Linked DNA regions of Caenorhabditis elegans. The protein of the gene in region 1 purifies or fractionates together with the protein of each later gene. This does not show direct contact. Each region holds a gene or a part of one and is shown in the gene's direction. Other genes may lie near its edges.

Region 1 (4,683 bases):
CAGATGCATTATCATTGACGCTTGTTGGAATCCTTGTCACGATGCTCAAGCTGTATGTCGTGTCTATCGATATGGTCAACAGAAGAAAACATTTGTTTATCGTCTTATTATGGATAACTCAATGGAGCGATCGATTTTCAATCGACAAATTTCAAAACATGGACTACAACAAAGAGTAGTTGACGATGCACAAGTTGATGCAAATATTTCGCAAAAAGAATTGGAGACTCTTCTAATGTATGATGAGGCACAAGATGTTAATCATGACAAATGGAATACAGATGATTGGGATTTCGGAGATCCGGTTCTAGACTCAATCACTAAGAGAATGAGTCAAATGTTTGCCGGGAAACCGTTCCTTCATGAAACCTTGATAATGGAGTCAGAGCAATCACTCAGCGAGCAGGAAAAACGAGAAGCTCAATTACTTTTTGATAGAGAACGACGTATGGAGAACTATGATCCATTGAGTGGCCTGAGCAGTTCTAACTTTTATAACAATGCTCCTGGAAGCTCAATGGGAATGATGGGTCCACCACCAGTTCCGATGTTCAATAATAACATGCAAAATAGTTTCAATAATCATTGGCAACAATCTCCTAATCAGCTTGCACCCAATTTTGGATCTTATCCACCACAGCAATTTCCACAACCGATGCCAAACATGTCACAATTTCCACCTCATGGACCATCACCTCAAATTCCATCAATTCGTCCATCACCAATGCCTCACACGCTTCGAATGAATGTCAGTCAATTCCATCACCAAGGAGGTGGTCATACGATGACGTCATTCAACAATGGCTATCCGAATAATAACAATGGAGGAGCTATAGGAAACCCTCAACAAATGCTTCCTCCAAGAGATCCATCAGCTTTTCCGGGAGCTGTTATGAGCAAAATACCATCATTTTCCCCGGCTGGAGCAGTTCAACAATTGATTACTGATAGACGTGAGTTTGACGTTTAAGTTTTTTTGAAAATTCAAATTTTTAGAACTCGTTTTTCCCATTGTCGGACATAGAGATCAGCTTCATCAGGTTCAGGCAAATACACCAATACAGTTAGTTGTTCCGAAAAATGGATATTATGTGAAACTACGTGATGGAACAATTCTTGACGCTGTCGGAAGTGTTTTTGAGAATCGTTAGTTTACTAGAAAAAATTTCGTATAATTTTTTAAAATTTATAGATGCCCGTCAGCTTCGTGATATGTATCTAAGCAAAAATTTCAACCATGATCCGCAGCAGGTTCAAGAAGTCATCGATCTTGATTAACAACGTCTTGCATTTTTTTCTTTTGATGTACATTTCGTTTTTTATCATATAAAATACAACATCTATCTCAATGCAACATCCAATGAGATCTCTGATAATTCACTATCATTTTACTCAATTATTTTTCCTCTTATAGAGGCTCCTAAATTAATTTTAGGCAAGTTTCGAATTTCCACATTTCAACTTTGTCCACACTCTTCCCTTTTATCATTAGTATGTCAATTAATTAAATTTTTCTGTTTTTTCCAACACAGTAATCAGCTCCGCTGTTCGGCAAGCTGCCAATTGTGTTTTATACGCCTTCTCTTTTAATTTAATGAATAAATACGAATAATATTTAAATTATCGGATTCGCTTGAAAGAGAAATTGGAATAACATTTTTCCGCAGATCCCCGTTTTGTAGTGCCTCTTAATAACGCGTTTTTAAATACTGACTTGGTTACTGTAGGTTTTGGTCCCGACACGAAATTCTGAACTCGTTCGGCACGTTTCTTCAATTTTCTTCATTTCTCTCACCCATTTCTGATGAATTAATGGTTTTTAGATTAATTTTTAAATATTCAGCGTTCTGCCAGTTTCTCAAAATAATTTTTTTAGACATTTCGGTCGGATATGTCGGAATTGTCGAGTGAAATGAAGTCAATGGAAAACGGAATGTCGGCGAGAACGGTATTTTTTATCAAATTAATGACAATTTGTAAACTATTCATTTCAGGACAGACAACATTATCTTGAGAGAGCTCAATACTCTCCATGGCCAAAAACTCAAAATAGTGGAGCATTCGGAGCGCTAACTGATCAACCGAGAAAGTATCGAGGAGGATTTGGAGGAGGTGAAGGCTTCTCTGATTTTGGATCCGTTAGTGGACTTGGCGGTAGAATCCCCAGAAACTCCTCTCACCTAAACGACAGTTCTGGATTTGGTTCCGTACGAGGAGGGTACAGCAGTTATCGAGAAAGCAGATCATCTCGTGTTGCTGTTTCGGATGCTCTTTACATGAATAATGAACGTTGCGTGACACCTCTGCCATCTGAGAATATAATGGGTAGTCCACGGCGTGGATCTTTCCGAAGTTCGCCCCGATCCGATGGTATGGGATCTTCATCGAAGAGACCACGCTCTGGCCGCCGAACCGGTAGACGTGGGCGAGGTGGGCCAGGCCACTGCTTCCATTGTCAAGAGCATGGACACATTTCGAGAATGTGCCCGAAGAAGGTTGGAGAAACGGATGAACACGGAGATGGAAAAGATATCGAAGTGGAACCATTTGAGACGAAAGATTTACTCCAAGAAGACGCATCAAGATACTCTTCTAATATGAAGGCTTTGCATGGAGGTTATTGTTTGAATACTAGGAAAACGTAACAATTTTTATGTTTTCAGGTGGACTGTATCAAAGCAAGTTGGACAATCAAAAGGCCCGTGAGTCTTATTATGGAGGGTACGGCTACAGCATCAACAGTCTCACCCCAAGAAGTGTTGGCAGCGTGAGAAGTGGTTTCACAGCACCAATGATGTCGCCCGAAATTGACAAATTCTCAGAGCAGTTGGACAATGCTTTGAAGCTCAGCAATGTCGAGCCGGTAGCTCCGTCGCCATACGTGATGACTATCACTGGAAAAGGGCCAGCTGAAAAATTGATGAAAGAAGTGCCACCAGTTGCTCCAATCAACACTCTACAGAGCAGAGAAGGAGCCAAACGTGAGATTATCAAAATTCTATAATTGTATAATGTTCATTATTACAGAAATTTCTACGGAGACTTTGTCAATCGAGACACGCAGAACTGTGATGCGCGATGGAGAATTCCACTTCGAGGAGACGACTATCATCAATTTCCCACGAGTTCTTCCGCCCAACGTCCGTGTCATCGCTGCCCAGTTCGTGCCGGTCGCTTCACAAAATTCATAATTTCTGATAATTATGATGCTATCAAGGAAAATGTTTAATAATTACTATTGGGAACTCTGCCCAATTTGCAGCGTATTTTTACTGTTTTTCATTGTTGTTCCATTTATTGACTTCTAGGTATTGTTTTTTACGTTCTGGAATTGTTTCTGTCCTAAATTTGAAAACTTGTATTTTTGATTTGAGTCTTCAACCTCATTTCATAAAAGTGTTTCATGTTACTCTCGTTTCATAATTATACACACTCAAACTTGAACATTTTCTACAGTATACTTCATTCAAAGGAAATCTACGCATTTTCAGTAGAACTCGGAGGCGATCGTGGAATTGGCGGAGATTGGGCGAGTGGAGCGTCCGGAGATGGAGTTCTTGGCGGAGGCGGCGTCGTACTAGTAGTCATTCCCAATTTTTTGCGGATTGATTCAAGAGACATGACTTTATCTCTGGAAATATTGTAAACATGAAAAAACTTCTTCGCATATAAAAAACCAGCCGTGGACCGCACCTTCGGCGCGGCCCCCGACTTCTGGGGCTGAAAATTAATTTTTTATGAAACTACCGTAACCCTACAGTATTCCTACCGTACCACTATTGTACCACTACAGTACCCCAACTATATCCCTACACTAACCCTAACTCACTATCCCTCCAGAAGCCAAAACTTCACAGACTACAAAGGCTACATAGACTACAAACTATGGACACACAGAATAAGCGCTTTATATATAGTAAATGATACTTACTTCAAACTAACTTCTACTCCATATCCTTTCTGTGTCTTGCGAATCATGTCCAATACAGAATGATCTTCATCTTGGTTTGAGCTGGAAATTACACATATTGAAAATGCTCCTATAACATGATTGTGAAGTCATGTTTCCGAATAATTAGACGGTCACATTTTCCAGAGGTACTGAAGCTTTAATCTCACCTATAAGGCTTCTTCACAGGTGTCTCATTGTCTTTCTTACAAAACTGTGTTTCATGGGCAAACATCGAGTATTCTCCAAGAAATGGTGACATTTTCTGCCCGTTTGGTGGAACATTGAATTGGCAACTTACTGTAAAAAATTGAATATTAAAACAATCGGATAAGTATGTTGTTTTTATAGATTTTTGCAATAAATAATAGGAGAACTCACTGTTTTTTCTAGGATTCTCATCAAGTGGCTGAAAGTTTTTTTCGAAATCGTGAAGAGTTCTCTTGTCCAATTTAGAGCGATCATATCCCTTATTAGGTTTCAGAGTCACGATTCGCAATTTCAAACTTTTACTGATTGTAGCAACTGATCCCAAATTGGAATTGTGTCCAGAATAATAAGGCGCTGAGAAGACTGTCAGAAGACGGTTGTCAAACTCAAAAGTATGTCCTTTCTGGAAACAAAAAATATTTAACATGCGAAATTGAACGATTCGCAATTTTCAAATGATTATACTACCATAGATGAAAGGTATAGATGAAAAACATAAACCTCTTTCATTTCATGAGCTCTGA
Region 2 (7,757 bases), 7.7 Mb from region 1:
ATCTGACGACAAATTGCAGAAAAAAGTCGAAATTTCTGCAAGTTGTCGTCGAATCCGGTGTTTCTTAGATTACTGTAGCCGTATATATGTGCAGTACACAGAATCTTACGACAAATTGCAGAAATGTAAAAATTTCTTGAATTTTCGGTAAGAATTGAGTTCAAAAACGTGAAAAAGTAAAGAAAATGGCTTTTTTTTTAAAGGTAAATTTCACCGAAAATTCGAATTTTCTGCGAATTGTCGTCAAATCTGGTGTTTCTTGGATTACTGTAGCGTCAGATGTGTGCAAAACACTGTATTTTACGACAAATTGCACAAAACTTGAATTTTCAGTAAAAATTGAGTTCAAAAACGTGAAAAAATCTAGAAAATTGCTTCTTTTTTTTTTGTTGATAATTTGACCGAATATTCAGATTTTTCTGCAAATTGTCGTCAAATCTGGTGTTTTTTGGATTACTGTAGCGTCAAATTTGTGCAAACACCTTTTACTTGAATTTTAGGTGGAAATTGAGATCAAATTGCATGTTTTAGGAGATTTTCAATAAAAATTTAAATTTTCTGCAGTTTGTCGTAAGATCTGGTGCACTGCAAACTTTTGGTGCTACAGTAACCTAGTCCACACTAAATCCTACGAAAAACTGCGGAGTTACGACAAAAAATATAGAAAATTTCATTTTTTTTTAAAGGTAAATTTCACCGAAAATTCGAATTTTTTGCAAATTGCTGTCAGTTTCAGTGTATTTGCGCAAGATTTTCATCCAATTTTCATTGAAAAATGCGATTTTCGCCCTGAAAAATCTCAAAATTTTTTAATTTTTTAATTTCCAGAACCGCTTCAACGCCCACATCGATGTCCCATGCTTCACCCTTTGGATGAACGGAAAAATGTGCGAAAAACTTGAAAATTCGCATGGATTATCGATTTTTCGGCCGCTCGGCACAGTGCTCGACGTCAACGAACTGAAAATCAAGATTACTGAACATTCGTCACGTTTTGTCGCAATTTTGCCGGTTTTTAATTTGAATTCCGACTGGAAAAATTGTTTTTTTCCCCTGGAAAATCAATAATTATCGATTTTTTTCTGTTGAATTCGTATTTTCTATAATTTGCCGTCGTTTTCACTCGATTTCCCACTGATTCATAATAATTTTCTTTAAAAACCCACTGAAAAATCGATTTTTCCGCTAGGGAATTAATTATTATTGATTTTTTTTTGATAGAAAATCGATTTTTATCGATTTTTCGCTAATATTTAAAAATCAATTTATCCTAATTTCTCACTGAAACCCCCCCCCCCCCTATTGCTATCATGAATTCATGATAGTTTTCTTTAAAACCCACTGAAAATCGATTTTCCGCTAGAAATTTATCGATTTTTCGCAAATTTTTCATCACTTTTTCCCGATCTCGTTGTTTTTATCCCGATTTCATGTCAAAAAAATCAATTCCGATTACAATTCCATGACCAATTCTAAATTACAGAAAAATCGATTTTTTACGAAATTTATCGATTTTTCGCTATTTTTTCATCACTTTTTCCCGATCTCGTTGTTTTTTTTTTGAATTATTGCTAAAAATCACTTCCGATTACAATTCCATGACCAATTCCGCCCAAACTATCGATTTTTTGCTTGAAAATCGATAATTTTTCAACCGATCTCTTGTTTTCTTTTTAATTATCATTAAAAATCACTTCCTCTCACAATTCCACCACCATTTCCGCCAACAAAATCCACAAAATTATCGATTTTTCCGCCGGAAAATCGATAATTCCTGTTTTTTTTGTATTTTCCCCTATTTTCTTAATTAAATTGCTTGTAGAATTGCCTAGTATCCTAGAATTCTAATAGTAACCGCTAATATTATTGATTTTTCCAAAAAAACCCTGAAATTATCGACTTTTACCTAAAAATTGTCGTTTTTCTTCTGTTTTTATTGTGTTTTTTCGCCGAAAATTGTCGCATATTGTTAATAGAATCTCATTTTCTGCCCAACATGGCGCAATTCTTTTAATTTACCCTGACTAATGTGCTTTTTCTCACTTTCTACACCATTTTTGTGAACTTTTATCGATTTTTTTTTCTCGTGATTTTCCCCCATATATCATTGACCTACTTCACACATATGCAACTTCTGAACACTGGAATAAATTTATTAATGTTTCATTACTAAAATCTTTTGAAATTGCGAATTAAATTGATTTAAATCGGGGTTTTGCCGCACTTTCTGCGATATATTGCAATTTTTCGGTTTGAACTCCCGCGCATTTGAATTAACGACACTCCGATATCCCGCCAGCGCGTGTTGTTTATCGCGTTTTGTTTTTTGAATAAAATTGTTTATTTTTGAGCCAAAATCTTTGATTTCAACGGTTTTTTCGTGATTTTTTGTTAGAATAACTGAAAATTTAGAGATTTCAAGCAAAAAACTATGCCAGAACCAACGGAATTGTCTGGAATCATCTCAAAACTTGAGGAAACCTACGCATTCGCCACCACCAGTCTTGGAAACGTATTTATACCGATTGCAGCGGCCAGAACCAAGAACGAGACGCTTTTAAGCTTGCTCGACAAGTTTTCGTGAGTTTTTTTTGCTGGAAAAGTTACATAAATCAATTAAAAATCAAAGTTTTGGGTGAAAATTCAAGTTTTTTCGAACTTTTCCCGGAAAAAATCGATAAAGTGTTTCAGATACAACGAAACTGTGCAAATGGTGGTTATTAAACAGATAGGACGCAAAAATAACTGCAATTATCAGGCAAAACTCGTGAAAAAGCTCGAAGGCTCAATGTTGGCGGCCGCCAGAATTTCCAATGAAGTTTTCGGGCCATTGGTGGGTTTTTAGGGTTAAAAACTTGGTTTTAAGTGAAAAAATAGTCAGAAAATTGAATTTTCCATAGTTTTAAAGCTAAAAAATCTCGAAAATCCCGTATTTCCAGATCGCCCAGGTGACCAGCACCACGGATAGCTACGCGTTTGCTCAAAACGACGAAAAAGGCACAATTTTCGTGCCGGGAGACGCTTTTGACGCGAAAATCGTGAAAAATGTGGGCCGATACGTGAATACCAGCAATCAACTGGTGCTAAAAATCAAGGAGCAAATCGAACGAAAAGGGTGTAAATGGGTCGCTGTTGAGGCTGTAAAACACTTTGTTGTCGAGGAAAATGAGGAGAAAGAGGTGGAAAATCGAGAAAAATCGATAAATTTTGATCTAGAGCTCGGAAAACTGCTGAAAAAGTGAATTTAGAGCAGAAAATTGGAGTTTTGAGCCGCCGAATGTCCAATGTTCAAGTAAAAAAATGTGAATTTAGAGCTAAAAAATTTAAAAAATGGCAAATTTCGACTAAAAATATAACTTTTCTCCCGAAAAAACGAATTTTTATGACAAAGTTGAGCCATTTTGGTATTTTTGCCCAAATTTCAGCTAACAACTTAAAAATGATCTAAAATATCCAAATTTTTGTATAAAAACCTAAAAGTTCTCCAAAAAGTTCAATTTTTTGCCCAAATTTCCGCTAAAACCTGGAAAATACTCTAAAATACCCAAATTTTTGTATAAGAACCTAAAAATTGCGAAAAAATATCCAAAAAAAAAAAAAGACTTTTTGTCCAATTTTCTGTTCAAAACACGGAAAAACTATCCAAATTGCACTAATTATACAAAAATCTGTTTTTTTTGGCCAAAAAAAATTTTTTTTCGGCTAAAAACTCGGAAAATTAATTAAAAATGCCCAAATTTTTGCCTAAAAACCGAAACATTGCAAAAAATTCACAAAAAACTCAATTTTCGCCCAATTTTCGAGCTGAAAACACGAAAAATGCTCAAATTTTTCCCCCAAAATATGCCGAAAATCAATAAAAATTTCAATTTTTTTCAGGCGGTAGCAACTGGAGAAGTAAAAATTTCGTGGGGAGTCGTTGTGGAAGTTGATGAAATGGAAGCACATGTATTAGATGAAAAGAATGGAATACTTGTTACGTTAGTAATGTTAAAAACTAAAAAAAATCTTAAAAATCTTAATTTTATAACTTTCTGTAAAAAAAACGAAAAAAAAAAATCGAATTTTTAGATAAAAACTCTGTAAAATCGAGAAAAATTGACTGTTTCGGGCTTATTTTCAGACAGAAATTAGAAATATAAAAGCTAATTTCACAGAAACATAAACTTTCACTAAAAATTGGCTTTTTACAAAATTTCTTCAGTGAAAATCTGGAAATTTTACCAGAAAAATTCCGGAAAAATGTCAAAATGTTGACCATAAATCGAAATTTGTACAAATTTTCGGAGAAAATTGCATTTGATCATCAAATTTCATCAGTTTTTACATTTTTTTCAGTGAATATCATACAATTTCACCAAAATATTGGAAAAAAATCGGGAAATTCACATTTTCTATGTGGAAAATATAAGAAACCAGCCGTGGACCGCACCTACGGCGCGGCCCCCGACTTTTTGAGAAAACACATTAGATATACGGTGTCTATCGCGGACCTCGATCGATGTCTGCTGCGCACTTAGCATAAGGTTTCCCAAAATTTCGTTGCTCTGATCAGAGATCAAACTACATAAGGACAGAAGGACACGCGCTTTATATATAGTAAATGATATAGGAAAAATCCTGGAATTTTCCAGATTTTTCTGTGAAATTCTAGAATATTTTTGGTTGAAAATGTCAAAAATCCAGAAAATTTTCAGAAAATTTCCCTGTATATTGTCTGTGACTTGTGTGTTTCTCTATCCGAATTGATGGTTTGAATAGTGGTATTCTCGGCTGAAATATGCAATAAATACCGTATTCCAACCAACAATTTGTGCAATAGAGCACATTTGTCACTGGAGATGCAGAAGCTATGCCCAAATTTTCATTTAGCGCGGAAATTTGGCTGTTTTCGGGTGTAAAGTAGAAAATTTGGAAATTTCGACATTAAAATTTATTATAAAATTTGAAAAAAAATCCATAAAAATCCCTTTTTTCTGACAATTTTCTGTTAAAAATTGGTAGTTTTTTGGGTTTTTTTAAATCCCAGTTTCCGAGGAAAGCTATAAATTTGGGTACGGTAACTCGGAATTTATGATGTTTTTTTTTAAAGCTGTAAAAACTGAAAAATTCTGCTCAATTTCCAATTTTTGTTGAAAACCTAGTGGTTTCTTGGATTGTTCTAATTTTTTATCAAAATCCTGCTGAAAATTAGAATTTTTAGCTTTTCCGCTTGTTTTTCGGAATTTTTTGTGGCTTTTTCCAGGTAAAAAATCCGTTTTTTACGGAAAAAACGGCAAATTTTTGAATTTTTCGATGTTTTTCCCATGAAAATCGGAAAATTTGTATTTTTTGTTTATTTTTAAAGGAAATTCGAATTTTTTTTCGTGGCGAGACCCAACCTTTTCAGACTTTGCGCAAAGTAGGTCAAAATTATACGGCAACTTGGCAACTGAATTTCCCAATACTGTCTGTGACTTGTGTGTTTCTCTATCCGAATTGATGGTTTGAATAGTGGTATTCTCGGCTGAAATATGCAATAAATACCGTATTCCAACCAACAATTCGGTGCAATAGAGCACATTTGTCACCGGGGATGCGGAAGCTATGCCCAAATTTTCATTTTTCAGGAAAAACACCTTTTAAAAGCCAAAATTGGGCCAAATTTCATAAATTTTTGGCCAAAAAACTTAAAATTTTCACCAAAAATCGCCTTTTTTTTTGCAGATGCCCAATTCTAAAATACACTGGCGGAGCAGATGATAGTCCTTCGGCTCGAGCACTAAATGACGTCATATCAATCGATAATCACGTTATGTTCAAAGCTATGCTAATCAATGGAAGATATGACGCTGTTGAATGGAAAAAAATTGCCGATTCTCATGAACTTGTGATGCCGAAAAAAGTGAACACGTCGGATTCGTATGCACAGACTCCTGCGTGTCTTGTGGTACGGGGTTTTGAGTGGAAATTTGGGATTTTCCGCTAAAAATGAGCTGAGAAAATCGGAAATTTTAACCCTAAATTGCCTGGAAATTCGGAATTTTGCGTTAAAAAAAGTGAAAAAAAAACATTCAATTTTAGATCCAAAAAGTTTATTTTGGAAGCTCCCACTTTGGCTGAAATTTTGATATTTCTGGTTAAATTTTACCGGTTTTATGCAGAATTTTTTATAATTTTCCACTTTAATTGGCATTTTAGAGCCTTAATTTTTACTAAAAATGCGCTAAAAATTTGATATTTTACTAACTTTTGTTAGAAATGTGAATATTTTATTAAAAAGGTTGATTTTTATGTAAATTAAATTATTTTGTCAACAAAAATTAGATAAAAATTCGGAAAACCCATTTTCCATACCGTTTTCAGATATTTCTGGCCTCCTTTGCAAAAAAATGAAAAATTGGAAATTTTCAGGAATTAAAAAAAATTCAAAATTTTTCAAATATCTAAACAAATTAGGATACTTTGACCGATTTTGCTACGCTTAGAAAAAGTTTTAGTCCATTTTCTAAATTTAAATCAATTTTCTGACGACATTTTTCAAAAAATTTGAAAAATTTCACACATTTTGACTAGTTTTTTTTCCAAAAATGTAAATTTTTTTTAAACTTTAAAAAAGTTTTTTAAATTAAAAAGCTGTAAAAACCGAAAAATTCTACCTAATTTCCAATTTTTTGTTGAAAACCTAGGATTAGCTTGGATTTTGCTAATTTTTCTCAAAATTGTGTTGAAAATCTGAATTTCTAAGCTTATCCGTTTTTTTTTCTAACATTTTCGGCGTTTTTCATCCCAGTTACCGAGGAATGCTATAAATTTTGAGTACGGCAACTCGGCAACTGAACTGAATTTCCCTGTATATTGTCTGTGACTTGTGTGTTTCTCTATCCGAATTGATGGTTTGAATAGTGGTATTCTCGGCTGAAACATGCAATAAATACCGTATTCCAACCAACAATTTGTGCAATAGAGCACATTTGTCACTGGAGATGCGGAAGCTATGCCCAAATTTTCAATTTTTCACGTGAAAACTTTGTCAAAATCACTAAATTTTCGCCTAAAAACCTGAAATATTCAGACAATCATGTTCCGAAAACTGCTCCAAAATCATCCAGAAGATATGGATCGATACTCATCAATATTGGATCAATTGCCACCGTCAGCACTTCCAGATTGCTATTTTTCCCGTGAAAATTGCACGGAATAATGGGATTTTTTTTTTGGTTTTTTTTTCGGTTTTATTCTCGAAAACGTGTTTGTCAATACTAATTATTGGGTTTTTTTTTCACAATTTTGCACTTATTTTCCGCACAAAATCGGTTAAAATTCCGGCTTTTTTTTACCTATTTTCACCCATTTTTTACCCCAAAAAACCGGAAAATCCATAGAAAATGTGCGATCGAGACGATTGTGCAAGTATCGCGAGCCGCTGCACCGGAGAAACTATCATTTGTGCATTTGTGGAATCAATCACACCGCCCAAGATTCGAGATAAGACGGGTAGGTTTTTTTTTTGCGGAAAAACTGCAAAATCCACTTAATTATCGATTTTTGGTGCGGAAAACGCCGAAAAATTGTCATTTTTGGGTTACTGTAGCCCCAAACATCACACCAATGCATCGGATCTTACGACAAAATGCAGAAAAAATTCGATTATTACGTAGAACCGCGTTTTTCCGCATTTTGTCGTAAAATCCGGTGCATTGATGCGGTTTTTGCACGGATTTAGGGATACGGTAACCACAAATTCGATTTTTCATTAAAAAATGACATAGTGCTAA
Region 3 (6,300 bases), 2.7 Mb from region 1:
GTATCCTACAATGCTATTTCAAACGGAATGCTTCCAATTCTTTGTCAAAATCTGGAGAAAGTACTTCGAAATTTGCCAAGAGAATCTGGACAGCTCGAGTCGTCTATGCGTATAGGATTGGCTACATTCGATCAGGCGGTTCATTTCTTTGACATTTCGTCGGCATCTCCAAAAATGCTCGTAATGTGTAAGTTTGATAAACTTATAAAAATTTGTCTAAATATGTACTGTTTTTAGCTGATGTTCAAGAGCCATTTGTTCCTATGGTCGATGGACTTCTTCTCCCTTACAACGAGGCACTTCCTGGACTTCGTGCCGCATTGGCTGAAATTCCTAAACTCTTTTCGCAGTCGAAAACCACCGAAACCATTCTTCAACCCGTCGTACAAGCCGGTCTTGACGCTTTGAAGTGTGCCGACAGAGCAGGAAAAGTGATTCTGTTTTCAACTGTTCTACCAACATATGATGCACCGGGAAAGCTGAAATCCAAAAATGATCGATCTCTTCTCGGGACAGATAAAGAAAAGAATGCACTGGTTCCACAAGAAGATTCATACACGAAGTTGGGAGAGCAATGTGTCAAGTCAGGAGTTACTGTCGATTTATTCCTCTTCCCAAATGCTTTCATTGATGTTGCCACAATTGGTCAGCTTTCTGCAGTTACGGGAGGATCTATTTTCAAATTTCAGTATTTCTCGGTAAATTTAAAGAAAAACCAATAATTTTATTAATTTTATTTTTATTTCAGGCCGATAAAGACGGTGTTCGCATGTTGAATGAGTTGGAACGACACGTTTCTAAGAAAATTGCATTCGACTGCATGGCAAGAGTAAGAACGTCTACAGGAATTCGTCCTATCACTTTTACTGGCTCCTTTTACATGGAAAACTCAACGGATTTGGAATTGGCTACATTGGATGAAAGCAAAGCATTCATCACAGAAATCAAACATGATGATAGTCTGAAAGATCCAGCTTCCTTCATTCAAACCGCTGTACTGTATACGTCGATGACTGGACAGCGCCGTTTGCGAATTTTGAACTTATGCCTTCCAGTTACTGCTGATTACAACCAAGTTTACCGACTTGCTGATCCGGAAGCATTGACAGCATTCATGTTGAAGCAAGCTGTTCAATTGAATCGTGACAAGGGAAGCTCAGAAATGAGAGAATCACTTTCTTCTCGTTGTGCACAATTCCTAGCGACCTATCGAGAGAAGTGTAGTGAAGGTGCCCCACTTGGACAACTGATTCTTCCTGAATCTCTGAAATTGATGCCGCTCTATGTGAACTCTATTTTGAAAAATGATGCGATCAGTGGAGGAAGTGAAATGACAGTCGACGACAAAGTGTGGCAGATGGAATTGATCCGTGGGCTACGAACTGAAAATGTCATGCCTCTTATTTATCCAAGAGTTATGCCAATCTCTGATCTACAAATCAATGATACTGAAGAAATGAAGGATCTTCCAAAACCTGTTAGAGCGAGTTCTGAGTTCCTGGAAAATTCGAAAGCCTATATTATTGATAACGGTGTTATTCTGTTTGTCTGGGTTGGCTCTGCATGCCCCCAGACATGGGTTCAAGACGTGTTTGGTGTTGGTGCTACAAATCAAATTGATACCGAGAGTGTAAGTTATCAATTGCTACGTTCAATTAGTCAATTACATTTTTCAGGGAACAATTCCGGAAAAAGACAATGGTCATTCACGTGCTCTTCGTCGTGCAATTCAACTTTTGCCACGTGGGATCCGAGAGCGAAAAACGTTCGTTGTCGTGGAAAAAAGCGGCCTTGAGCCATGGATGAAGAAATTTTTAGTGGAAGACAAGGCTGGTCCTGCTAATATGTCATACGTTGATTACCTTGTGGATATCCATCGCAAAATCCGCGATCTCATTTCCTAAGTCGTTGATACTGTGATAGAATTGCTTCTCTTGATTGTTCCCTTTGTTCTTCCTTCATATTATTTTGATCACGCCAAAGCAAATCTTGTGATTAGAAATGTTGGAAGAATTAATATTTTGTACCGGTTTCTTTGTACACATTCATTTCCTTCCCTCTCGCCGTACTATTTTCTTTTAATATTATGGAGCATGGTTTGTAAAAATTAAGATATTAGCTTTCCTAGCACCTTATCAGTGCAAAAATAGAATTTGTTTTATCTGCTTTTTCCCAGATTCCTAATTTATTCTTTTCCAGTTGCTCTCGCGACTTTTAGAGATTTCTATTTATTGTTCCTTTTTTTGTAAAATATCCCCTATTACCCCGTCCATATAATTTATTGTGATTTGAAATGGGATCGAATGTGTTTAATTTGATGGTGTCTTATGAAAATAAAATGTTTTTGATTAAACATTTGAGAATCGAATATGTTGACTTTGTGAATATTATATTTTTGAAATTCACTTCGGTGTAATGTTAACGCGCTCTAACGCAATTTGCCGCGAAATTTCAACATTGACAAATTTGCCTTCTTGAATTGATTTTTTTCTTTATTTTAAGAATGGAAACCGCTTGGTCCAACATCCTAAACTATAAGAATGTCTCAGATCGATACATTCTCACTGAAAAAGATAAAAAAGGTATTTATATTTTGCTCTAAGCTTTAAAAAGTTATTTTCTTTCAGGTGCGTTCACTAGACAGTACTTTGAAGTCTACGAAGCTCGCTTGAAGGAACTGAAACCTCGTATTTTGGAAAATGCAGAACGTGAAATTGGTTAGAATTATAATATTACTAATAAACCTTAATTTTTATCTTCAGGCAAGGGAAAATTCACGCATTCACAATTGAGCGATGCTAAACAAGACGAGGAAATCTTCGTGGTCGGCGTTATTGTAAAGAGAATAGCTGCAAGACCATCAATTTTGAAATCGTTGCTCAACGAGGATAAAGTGGCTTATGATGATTATGAAGAAGATGCCGAAGAAGACGAAGTGAAAAGATACGCTGGAAGCATTGAAGATCGAATCGAATTGGAATCAGATAAACAGACAGTACGTCTGGAAGGAAATATTTCAATGGATGAGTGTGCAACTGGTTGTTGTGTTGGAGTTCTTGGAAAATTAGGAAAAGAAGGAGTATTTCATGTGAATCGTTTGGTTTGGCCATCTGTAAAAGTTCCAAAGAAAGTGGCTGTCGACGGGACTATCGCTTTCGTCAGTGGACTCGATCTAACTGGAGATTTGGAAGACGATGTGAGTATTAATTCTGTAACTTGAATACTATTCCAACTTTAAAATTGTGCTCCAAAACTACGGTACACGATCTCGAAGCGACCGATTTTTGTTAATACAAAAGAGTGCGCCTTTAAAGAGTACTGTAGTTCCCAACTCCTCGTTGTTGCAGATTTTTCATTAATTCGTCAAAATTTGAAAAACATTTTCACATGTTTTTCAATAAATTTCAAAGAAACGGATGAAAAATCGAAGAAAATCTACAGAAGTTCGGAACTACAGTAATCTTTAAAGGCGCATAATCTTTTGTTTTCTGTTTTTTTGTCTAATTTAAATCGAAAAACAACCAAATTACACCTTTTCTCGGATATTTTAATCTAAGTATTTCCACTTAATCCCGGACTTCTGAATGAAATCTATGCCATTTGAAAGAGCATCTTTTAAATAGGCCCCTACAAAAATTTAGCAGCAGAGGACCACTTTGATCTGGAAAAAAGTCTCCCTGAAAAATGTTCAGTGCATTTTTCCACAACTTTCGAGGTCTGTGAATGGCTCCAAATGTGAATTTTTGTAGATTTTTGATGATTTCTAAGATTTTCAGGGGCAGGCAAACATTCAAAATTTGTTTTGGAATTTTTTCGATTTTTTGAATCCATGTCCATTGCGAAATTTCAGATTTTTTTCAAAAATTTTTAAACATTCCCAAAAACAAAATCTGAATGTTTACCGGCCGTGAACATCTTAGAAATCATCAAAAATCTACAAAAATTCACATTTGTAGCCATTTTACGGACCTCGAAAGTTGTGAAAAAAAATGCATTGAAAAATTTTCAGAGCGACCTTTTCCAGTTCAAAGTGCTCATCCGCCGCTAAATTTTTTATAGGGGTCTTCTTAGAAGATGCTCTTTCAAATGGAATAAGTTCCATTCAGAAGATTCATATTTCCATGGTTTTCTCGAAACTACAAAATCATGATTTCAGCGACTCACAATCTCTGGTCTTGAATTTATGGCTGATTGGATGAATGTTCAAGTTGGAAATGAGAATCAATGTCCACCGATTGATCGTCTTGTAGTTATTGGTCCACTGGTTGAAACAAAATCAAATGGTTGTGATGTTCAGTCAGTCGTTCGAACACTTACTCTTTCACGTGCAGAGAAACATTCTTCAACAGCATCACTAATTACTGTAGACAAAATTATTAATTCAATTGCTGAAAAACCTCTTGTTAACACTGTCGACGTGACTCCTGGTGTTGGTGATCCATGCTCATCGATGTGGCCACTGCCACCTATTCACAGAGTTTGTCTTCCACGTTGTGGAATGAGTGATAAAAAAGTGAATCTTGTGACAAATCCATATGAATTTGAAGTCAATGGACTACGTGTGATGACAATGTCTGGCGAAAACGTGAGCGAGCTTCTTCGTACTTCCCTGAAATGGACGGGAGCTGATGCTATTGAGAATATCATTAAATGGCAACATGTGGCACCAAATTGTCCAGATACTCTTGATGCATTCCCAGTGGCTGAAAGGTTTGTTTGGTGCATTTTTTGGAGCACAGAATAATTTCGAAAAATATTTCGAACCAAAAAAACTAAAAAATATGTTGATATTGGATTTATTTCGAAATATAATTTTTTTGGAGCCTAAGACCTAAATACTTTTTGAAAAATTAATCAAAAACCACTAAAAATAAGGTTTGCTGTAAGTATATAAATTTTTTTCGGGTATTTTGGTGTCAAAAAAGAAGCCAAATAAAATCAATTTTTCCTTTAAATAACATTAAAAAACCAGAAAAATGTCCAACTCTAGTCAAGGGTGACATTTTTTCGATTTTTCGATGTTTTTCAGTGAAAATCAAAAATCGATAAAAGAAATTTTTCGACTTTCCAAAAATCGAAAAATTTTTGTTTTTCGATTTTCTAAAAAAAAAATCGAAAAACGAACACCCTAAGGTCCCTAGTTTTAAGTTTTAAAAAATTGATTTAGTACAGTACTTTTCTATTGATAGAGAACATTTATTACCTATACAGAGAATGTTTCAAAACAATTATTTTTCAGAGATCCTCTGATCATGGACATCACACCGCATGTGATCATTTGTGGAAATCAACCTCACGCCGAGTTCCGTCATATTCCAATTGATGGATCAAATTGCCTTGTTGTTTGCCTGCCCAAATTCTCCAAAACTCGTGTCGCCTGCTTTCTCAACTTATCTGATCTTTCCCTGAAGTGGCAAAACTTTGATCATCAGTTCTAATTATTTTATGCGTGTTCACATTCAAAATTCACATTTTGTTGAATTATCCAGTTATTACTCCATTTTTTGTACTGTTTTACGTTAAATATTTTACCAAATACGATTTATTGTATCTTTAAACGTTAATTTCCAATAAAAAACGAGGATAGGCTCATTAAAGTACGAAAAATCGCCTAAAATTGCCGAAAATCAGGAAATTAATTATTTGATTGTCTGAGAGGAGTACACACGAGGTGGCGCTCATTTGCGCGCGAAATTCAAATTAGATGGACGGCGAGATTTTTTTCGGCACTTTGAAGGCTCATAACTTCATTTAGCGAAATTTTTGTGATGTTTCGCTTTCACATATCGACTTGTACGAGCATAGAGAATGTTTTTAAGCACAGTCTCAAATTCGACTACACCACCTTTAACGAGATTTAAAAACCTTATTACCACAAAAAGTCTAATGACCGAAAATTACATTTCCAGGTGTCAACCGCCCTCCCATGAGAGACAATAGATGAGAGCCAATAAAGTAATTTTGAGCGTTCACACCTGTCGATAGTGTGTAATGACTCTCCGTTGTTCTCATTAGGCGTTGCAGAACCCTATAGTCAGTTATACAGTCAGTCTGCCAAATTTCTATCCAGAAAAATGGTGAGCTCTTTGTTGGAGTTGACTGCCTATAAAGTTGCTGACTATATTGAACGTGGTATGTTTTATTTTATTTTAATTCTTCAATAAACTATACAAATTTCAGGAAAGTACAATAAAATGAATTATATTCTTGATGCAAAATCGAGTAATGTCATTTACTGCCATCTCAGAAAAATGCGGAGCTCCAGTTATATTTTATCAAAGGATCGAACAAGAAACGAGA
Region 4 (4,782 bases), on another chromosome or scaffold:
CCTGGTCGACCGGCGTCTCCCTGCTCTCCTGGTCCTCCTTGTCCTCCTGTTGGTCCTGGTGGTCCGTGTCTTCCTTGATCTCCAGCTGGTCCTGCTGGTCCGACAAGTCCTGATGGTCCTCGTGGTCCTGGACGTCCTGGTGGGCACTTAATACATCCTCCTAGAAATTACTCAATTTAAAAACAAGTCTATAACACAGTAAAGATACCTGGAATATCGTGAGTAATTGCAACAATAACTCCTGGTGCACCAGGCTTTCCATCATCTCCATCATGTCCTGGCTCTCCACTTTGTCCACCCTCTCCAGGTGGCCCTGGTGGTCCTGCTGGGCATCCCTCAGACTTTGGTCCACAGTTACATTGTTCTGGATAAGCTTGACGGGCCTTACGTGTTCCGAAAAGAGTCTCGAATGTTGGTGGATGAGATTCGATTGTTTCTTCGTCGACGCCACCTGGATAAGTGTGTTTTGTGACGATCCTTTGCCAGGTGTCTTTAGTAATGGCGCGGAATTCAAACATCTCGTCATCGAAATCAGATTGAAGTTGTTTGATGTCAGTAAGAAGACCCATCATGGTGTAAAGTGCCACGAAGACACATACAAGCATGGAGGCGGACCCCGCCCAGATGAGTGTATTACTCATTCTGAAAATTGATGCGATGTGTCTCAAAATCATGCGGAATTAAAAATAAGTTATTTTCTTGAATCACCGTGGCGGGACCCACTTTAAAATTTCAGTGGGTCTCGTAACGCTCAAACCGATTTTAGCGGACTTCTCAAAATAATAGAATAAAACAGATGAAGACGAGTTATACAAATTATATATTTCTAGATAAATCAACAAATAAATAAAACTAAAAACCAAAAATTAACTTTCTTTGCGTGTATCCAATGGTTTAAGTAGTCATCCTTATCAGATCGTCACGTCCTGAACCACTCAATAATTTTCAATTTTCCGTTTACTTCTCCGAATGGTTCCGCCTGTTTTCCGATCACTTTTCGACGACGTCAAACCAGTTAGCATTTCTCTGAAACTCTCCAGTAACCAGTATCTTTGTCTGTTGCTATCGAACATCAAATTGTGTGGCAATCGTTTTTTTTTCTGGAAATACTTCTCTCGCCTATCTGTTACCCTCTTTCAGGTATCAGGGGCGGAAAAGAAAGTGAAAGTTTGCAGAAATTCAGTAAATGAGGGTTCTATATTAGTTTTAAGGGAATTTGAGAGTAATTGGAACTTCAGTTTGCAGTCTTCAATCTTTAAGAGCTACCGTAACCCTATTTCAGTGAAGAGTCTACTGATACCGTTGCGGGCCCATTAAATACTTAATCCAAAAATTAATTAATACTTTGTCGACGCTCCTTTGATTAGACGATGTATTTTTGCTATTCAACTTCCCTGATTGAGAATGCTATCGATTAGAGAGCCAAATGGCAGTAATCCCCGAGAGATTGTCTGTCATCACTGCTGCGTTTAGAGACACAGGTGAGCAGAACAGTACGATACTCCGCTATTCCGAAACGCGCGTTGTTCACCGTAAATCGACATTAATTTGGCTGGAATTGTTTTAAAATTAGAAATTGTTTTATTGTTGTTTTATTCTTTAATTTTCACCTCTCGTTATTATTTCATTAAATTATAGTTTTACATCGTTCGTTTTGAAGCGAGATTATATTTTTAATGGAATAAACCTAAAATGTTGTTTATAAATAATTCTTATGAAATTCAAAGAATTGTCATTTTTTGAACAATAGTGCGAATTATTATTAATTAAACAACAAAATTTATACTTTAAACGTTCCAATTTTTTCCTTGTAATAAAAAATAAAATGCGACACTAAATAAGTATTAGGAACTGTAAACATGCTTTACAATGTATAATCTATTTTGTTTACACCACAAGGAAAATTAAATATTCAACACTTTTAAGCAAAGATGGTCAGCGTGGATCCATTGGCAACGGAGCGTTGGAGGAGCATCAGAAGATTAACAGATCGCGACTCTGCATATAAAGTTCCATGGTTTGTTCCCGGACCGGAAAACTTTGAAGCACTGCAAAACACGAAGATTCTTGTTATTGGTGCTGGTGGATTGGGTTGTGAGTTGTTAAAGAACTTGGTTAGTTAGAATTCAAAAAAAACATTAAAAATAATGCATTTTCAGGCTTTGAGCGGATTCCGAACAATTGAAGTTATCGATATGGACACAATTGATGTATCAAACCTAAATCGTCAATTCTTATTTAGGTATTAAAAAATTATTATTAAATTCGTTCTGTCAAAAAAAAACTTTCAGGGAATCTGACGTTGGAAAATCAAAAGCTGAGGTAGCTGCTGCTTTCGTTCAACAAAGAGTTGTTGGATGTCAGGTGACTGCGTAAGTGTTGTGGTTTGATAGTCTTTCCAAACAAATTCAGAATTATTTTAATTTTATTTCAATTTTCAGGCACAACTGTAGAATTGAAGACAAGGGTCAAGAATTTTATCGAAAATTCTCTATAATTATCTGTGGACTTGATTCGATTCCAGCCAGAAGATGGATCAACGGAATGCTGGTAAAATTCTTTCTAGCTCAAAATATAAATTAATTTATCGAATTGCAGTGTGATTTGGTTTTGGAAATGGCCGACGGAAAACCTGATGAGAACACAATTATTCCAATGATTGACGGAGGAACTGAAGGATTTAAAGGAAATGCTCGTGTCATATATCCGAAATTCACAGCCTGTATTGATTGTACTCTTGATCTTTATCCACCTCAAGTCAATTTTCCATTGTGCACAATTGCTCACACTCCTCGACTTCCAGAACATTGTATTGAATACATTAAAGTAGTTGTTTGGCCAGAGGAAAAACCATTTGAAGGTAAAAATTTACAGAAAAATCGGTGAAACGAACTTTAATTTTAGTGTTATTTTTAAAGTTTTTTCTGGAAAAAAGTTATATTTCCAGGTGTTTCTCTTGACGCTGACGATCCGATCCACGTTGAATGGGTTCTCGAAAGAGCAAGTCTTCGTGCAGAAAAATACAATATTCGAGGTGTGGATCGTCGTTTGACATCTGGAGTTCTAAAAAGAATTATTCCGGCTGTTGCATCAACAAATGCAGTTATCGCTGCATCATGTGCCCTAGAAGCTCTGAAATTGGCCACAAAGTATGTAAGATCACATATTAAAACTCTCAATATTCAATTTCAGCATTGCCAAACCAATCGATAATTATCTTAATTTCACTCAAATTCACGGAGCATATACCAGTGTTGTTTCAATGATGAAAGATGACAATTGTCTCACTTGTAGTGGTGGGCGTCTTCCATTCGAAGTTTCACCATCTTCAACTCTTGAATCGCTTATCATCAGACTCTCGGAGCGTTTGTACGTTCTCCGTTTGTTTTAGAAAACAAATTTCAAATTTCAGCCATCTCAAACATCCGACACTAGCGACCTCAACTCGAAAACTTTACTGTATTAGCAGTTTCATGCCACAATTTGAACAAGAAAGCAAAGAAAATCTGCATACTTCGATGAAAGATCTTGTTAGCGATGGCGAAGAAATACTGGTATCCGACGAAGCATTGTCTCGTGCACTTACACTACGAATTCAGCTCATCTAATGCATTTCTTCTATTTCACTTTTGAATGTCTCGGGTAAAGTATGCCTGTGTTCCATGTCAATAAAAATAAAATCGTTTTTAAACTCAAAATATTTACCTAAAGAAAATAGAAAGGAAAAGTGAACTGATGAAAATACAACGAGCAATTGAAATGGAACGAGAAGAGGGACCCTGTGAATGACAATTAAAGTATGAAAAATGTGGCAATAATACAGAAAAAATAGAGACGGAGAATGACTAGATCTATAGATAAGACAACCGATGTGAGCTTTCAGAAATCATTAAGACGTGCGAGAAGATCGTCTGTTGATGGCACCACTGTGCCTGATGATGATGATGTAGCCGTGTTTGATGATGCAGGACCAGATGAAGTTGACGAGGAACCCGTCGGATCGTTTTCTTTGTGCGTTGGTGAGATTTGCGATGTTCCATTGATATTCTGAAAGTTAAATTTCGAAAAGTTTCCACATATAAAATATGTTACCGTAACTGGAACAGCTGGTTGCCCTTTCCTTCTCACTCGAACTTTGAGCTCATTCTGACCAATCGGCAATCCAACTCCAAATGCTTTAGCCCTATCAAGCGCCGTTGTTGGTTTTACTGATGATGGAAGTTCCATATTTTGTCGTTGCAGATCATTTTGAGGAACGTTGCGTGATCGAGCAAACTGTCCGGAAAGAACCGGTTCCGATGCGCAGCCAGTGAGATCTTGAAGCTGACCCAAAGCATTCTGATGTCGTGATCTTTGCCGATCAAGTCCTCCTCCAAGTCTTCCACCTCCGCGAGTTCGAGCTGGCAATCCGGAACGAGGAGTTCGAGAATTTGTGGCAGACATCAAGGTTTGAAGGAAATCAGCATTTCCTGTAGCACGCTCCAACTCATCGAGCACACCAGCCTTATCGGCAGCTGAAAAAATTATATTAAAAAACAATTTCAAAAATATCAACTCACCAGTCGAAACTCGAATCATCGCAGCCGGAGTTCTTGGCACTCTATTAATCGCCTGTCTCTCTTGTAACGGCTTCCTTTCTTGTTGAGATTGTTGCAGCTGCTTCCGCTTCTGTGTCTCAAATTCTGCTTCTTTTCGTTTTGCTTCTGCTTCGGCATCCAACTCTTTCCAAGCATTCGAATATTGCTCAGAGAAGGTGCGAATATCGGCGAAAAATTCTTCCAT

What was found.
Region 2: the proteins of egc-2 (region 1) and Y104H12D.2 fractionate together in Caenorhabditis elegans (co-fractionation; one large-scale study listed by BioGRID). This does not show direct contact.
Region 3: the proteins of egc-2 (region 1) and pold-2 fractionate together in Caenorhabditis elegans (co-fractionation; one large-scale study listed by BioGRID). This does not show direct contact.
Region 4: the proteins of egc-2 (region 1) and rfl-1 fractionate together in Caenorhabditis elegans (co-fractionation; one large-scale study listed by BioGRID). This does not show direct contact.

What each region holds. Positions count from the first base shown.
Region 1 is NC_003282.8:8,899,770-8,904,452, forward strand, and holds egc-2 (CCHC-type domain-containing protein), read left to right. Parts: upstream 1-1,876; 5' UTR 1,877-1,891; coding exon 1,892-1,948; intron 1,949-1,994; coding exon 1,995-2,616; intron 2,617-2,663; coding exon 2,664-2,981; intron 2,982-3,027; coding exon 3,028-3,191; 3' UTR 3,192-3,408; downstream 3,409-4,683. Other genes in the region: rad-54.L2 (Helicase ARIP4), read left to right, coding at 1-953, 997-1,146, 1,193-1,278; Putative serine/threonine-protein phosphatase C27B7.6, read right to left, coding at 3,478-3,631, 3,932-4,012, 4,120-4,249, 4,331-4,562, 4,661-4,683.
Region 2 is NC_003282.8:1,175,608-1,183,364, forward strand, and holds Y104H12D.2 (DUF7930 domain-containing protein), read left to right. Parts: upstream 1-2,414; 5' UTR 2,415-2,431; coding exon 2,432-2,580; intron 2,581-2,691; coding exon 2,692-2,833; intron 2,834-2,939; coding exon 2,940-3,179; intron 3,180-3,879; coding exon 3,880-3,980; intron 3,981-5,706; coding exon 5,707-5,929; intron 5,930-6,984; exon of another isoform or gene 6,985-7,054; coding exon 7,055-7,183; 3' UTR 7,184-7,257; downstream 7,258-7,757. Other genes in the region: cec-2 (Chromo domain-containing protein), read left to right, coding at 829-1,068; rmif-2 (RecQ-mediated genome instability protein 2 homolog), read left to right, coding at 7,368-7,476.
Region 3 is NC_003282.8:11,558,036-11,564,335, reverse strand, and holds pold-2 (putative DNA polymerase delta small subunit), read left to right. Parts: upstream 1-2,502; 5' UTR 2,503-2,503; coding exon 2,504-2,582; intron 2,583-2,627; coding exon 2,628-2,717; intron 2,718-2,762; coding exon 2,763-3,196; intron 3,197-4,156; coding exon 4,157-4,710; intron 4,711-5,239; coding exon 5,240-5,438; 3' UTR 5,439-5,599; downstream 5,600-6,300. Other genes in the region: sec-24.1 (Protein transport protein Sec24C), read left to right, coding at 1-187, 238-698, 749-1,630, 1,677-1,904. UniProt on the Caenorhabditis elegans protein: The function of the small subunit is not yet clear.
Region 4 is NC_003281.10:7,019,959-7,024,740, forward strand, and holds rfl-1 (NEDD8-activating enzyme E1 catalytic subunit), read left to right. Parts: upstream 1-1,926; 5' UTR 1,927-1,931; coding exon 1,932-2,114; intron 2,115-2,159; coding exon 2,160-2,242; intron 2,243-2,291; coding exon 2,292-2,372; intron 2,373-2,441; coding exon 2,442-2,550; intron 2,551-2,598; coding exon 2,599-2,860; intron 2,861-2,947; coding exon 2,948-3,149; intron 3,150-3,192; coding exon 3,193-3,369; intron 3,370-3,412; coding exon 3,413-3,608; 3' UTR 3,609-3,694; downstream 3,695-4,782. Other genes in the region: col-8 (Cuticle collagen 8), read right to left, coding at 1-160, 209-641; cyk-1 (WAPL domain-containing protein), read right to left, coding at 3,880-4,047, 4,093-4,514, 4,560-4,782. UniProt on the Caenorhabditis elegans protein: Catalytic subunit of the dimeric rfl-1 (uba-3)-ula-1 E1 enzyme.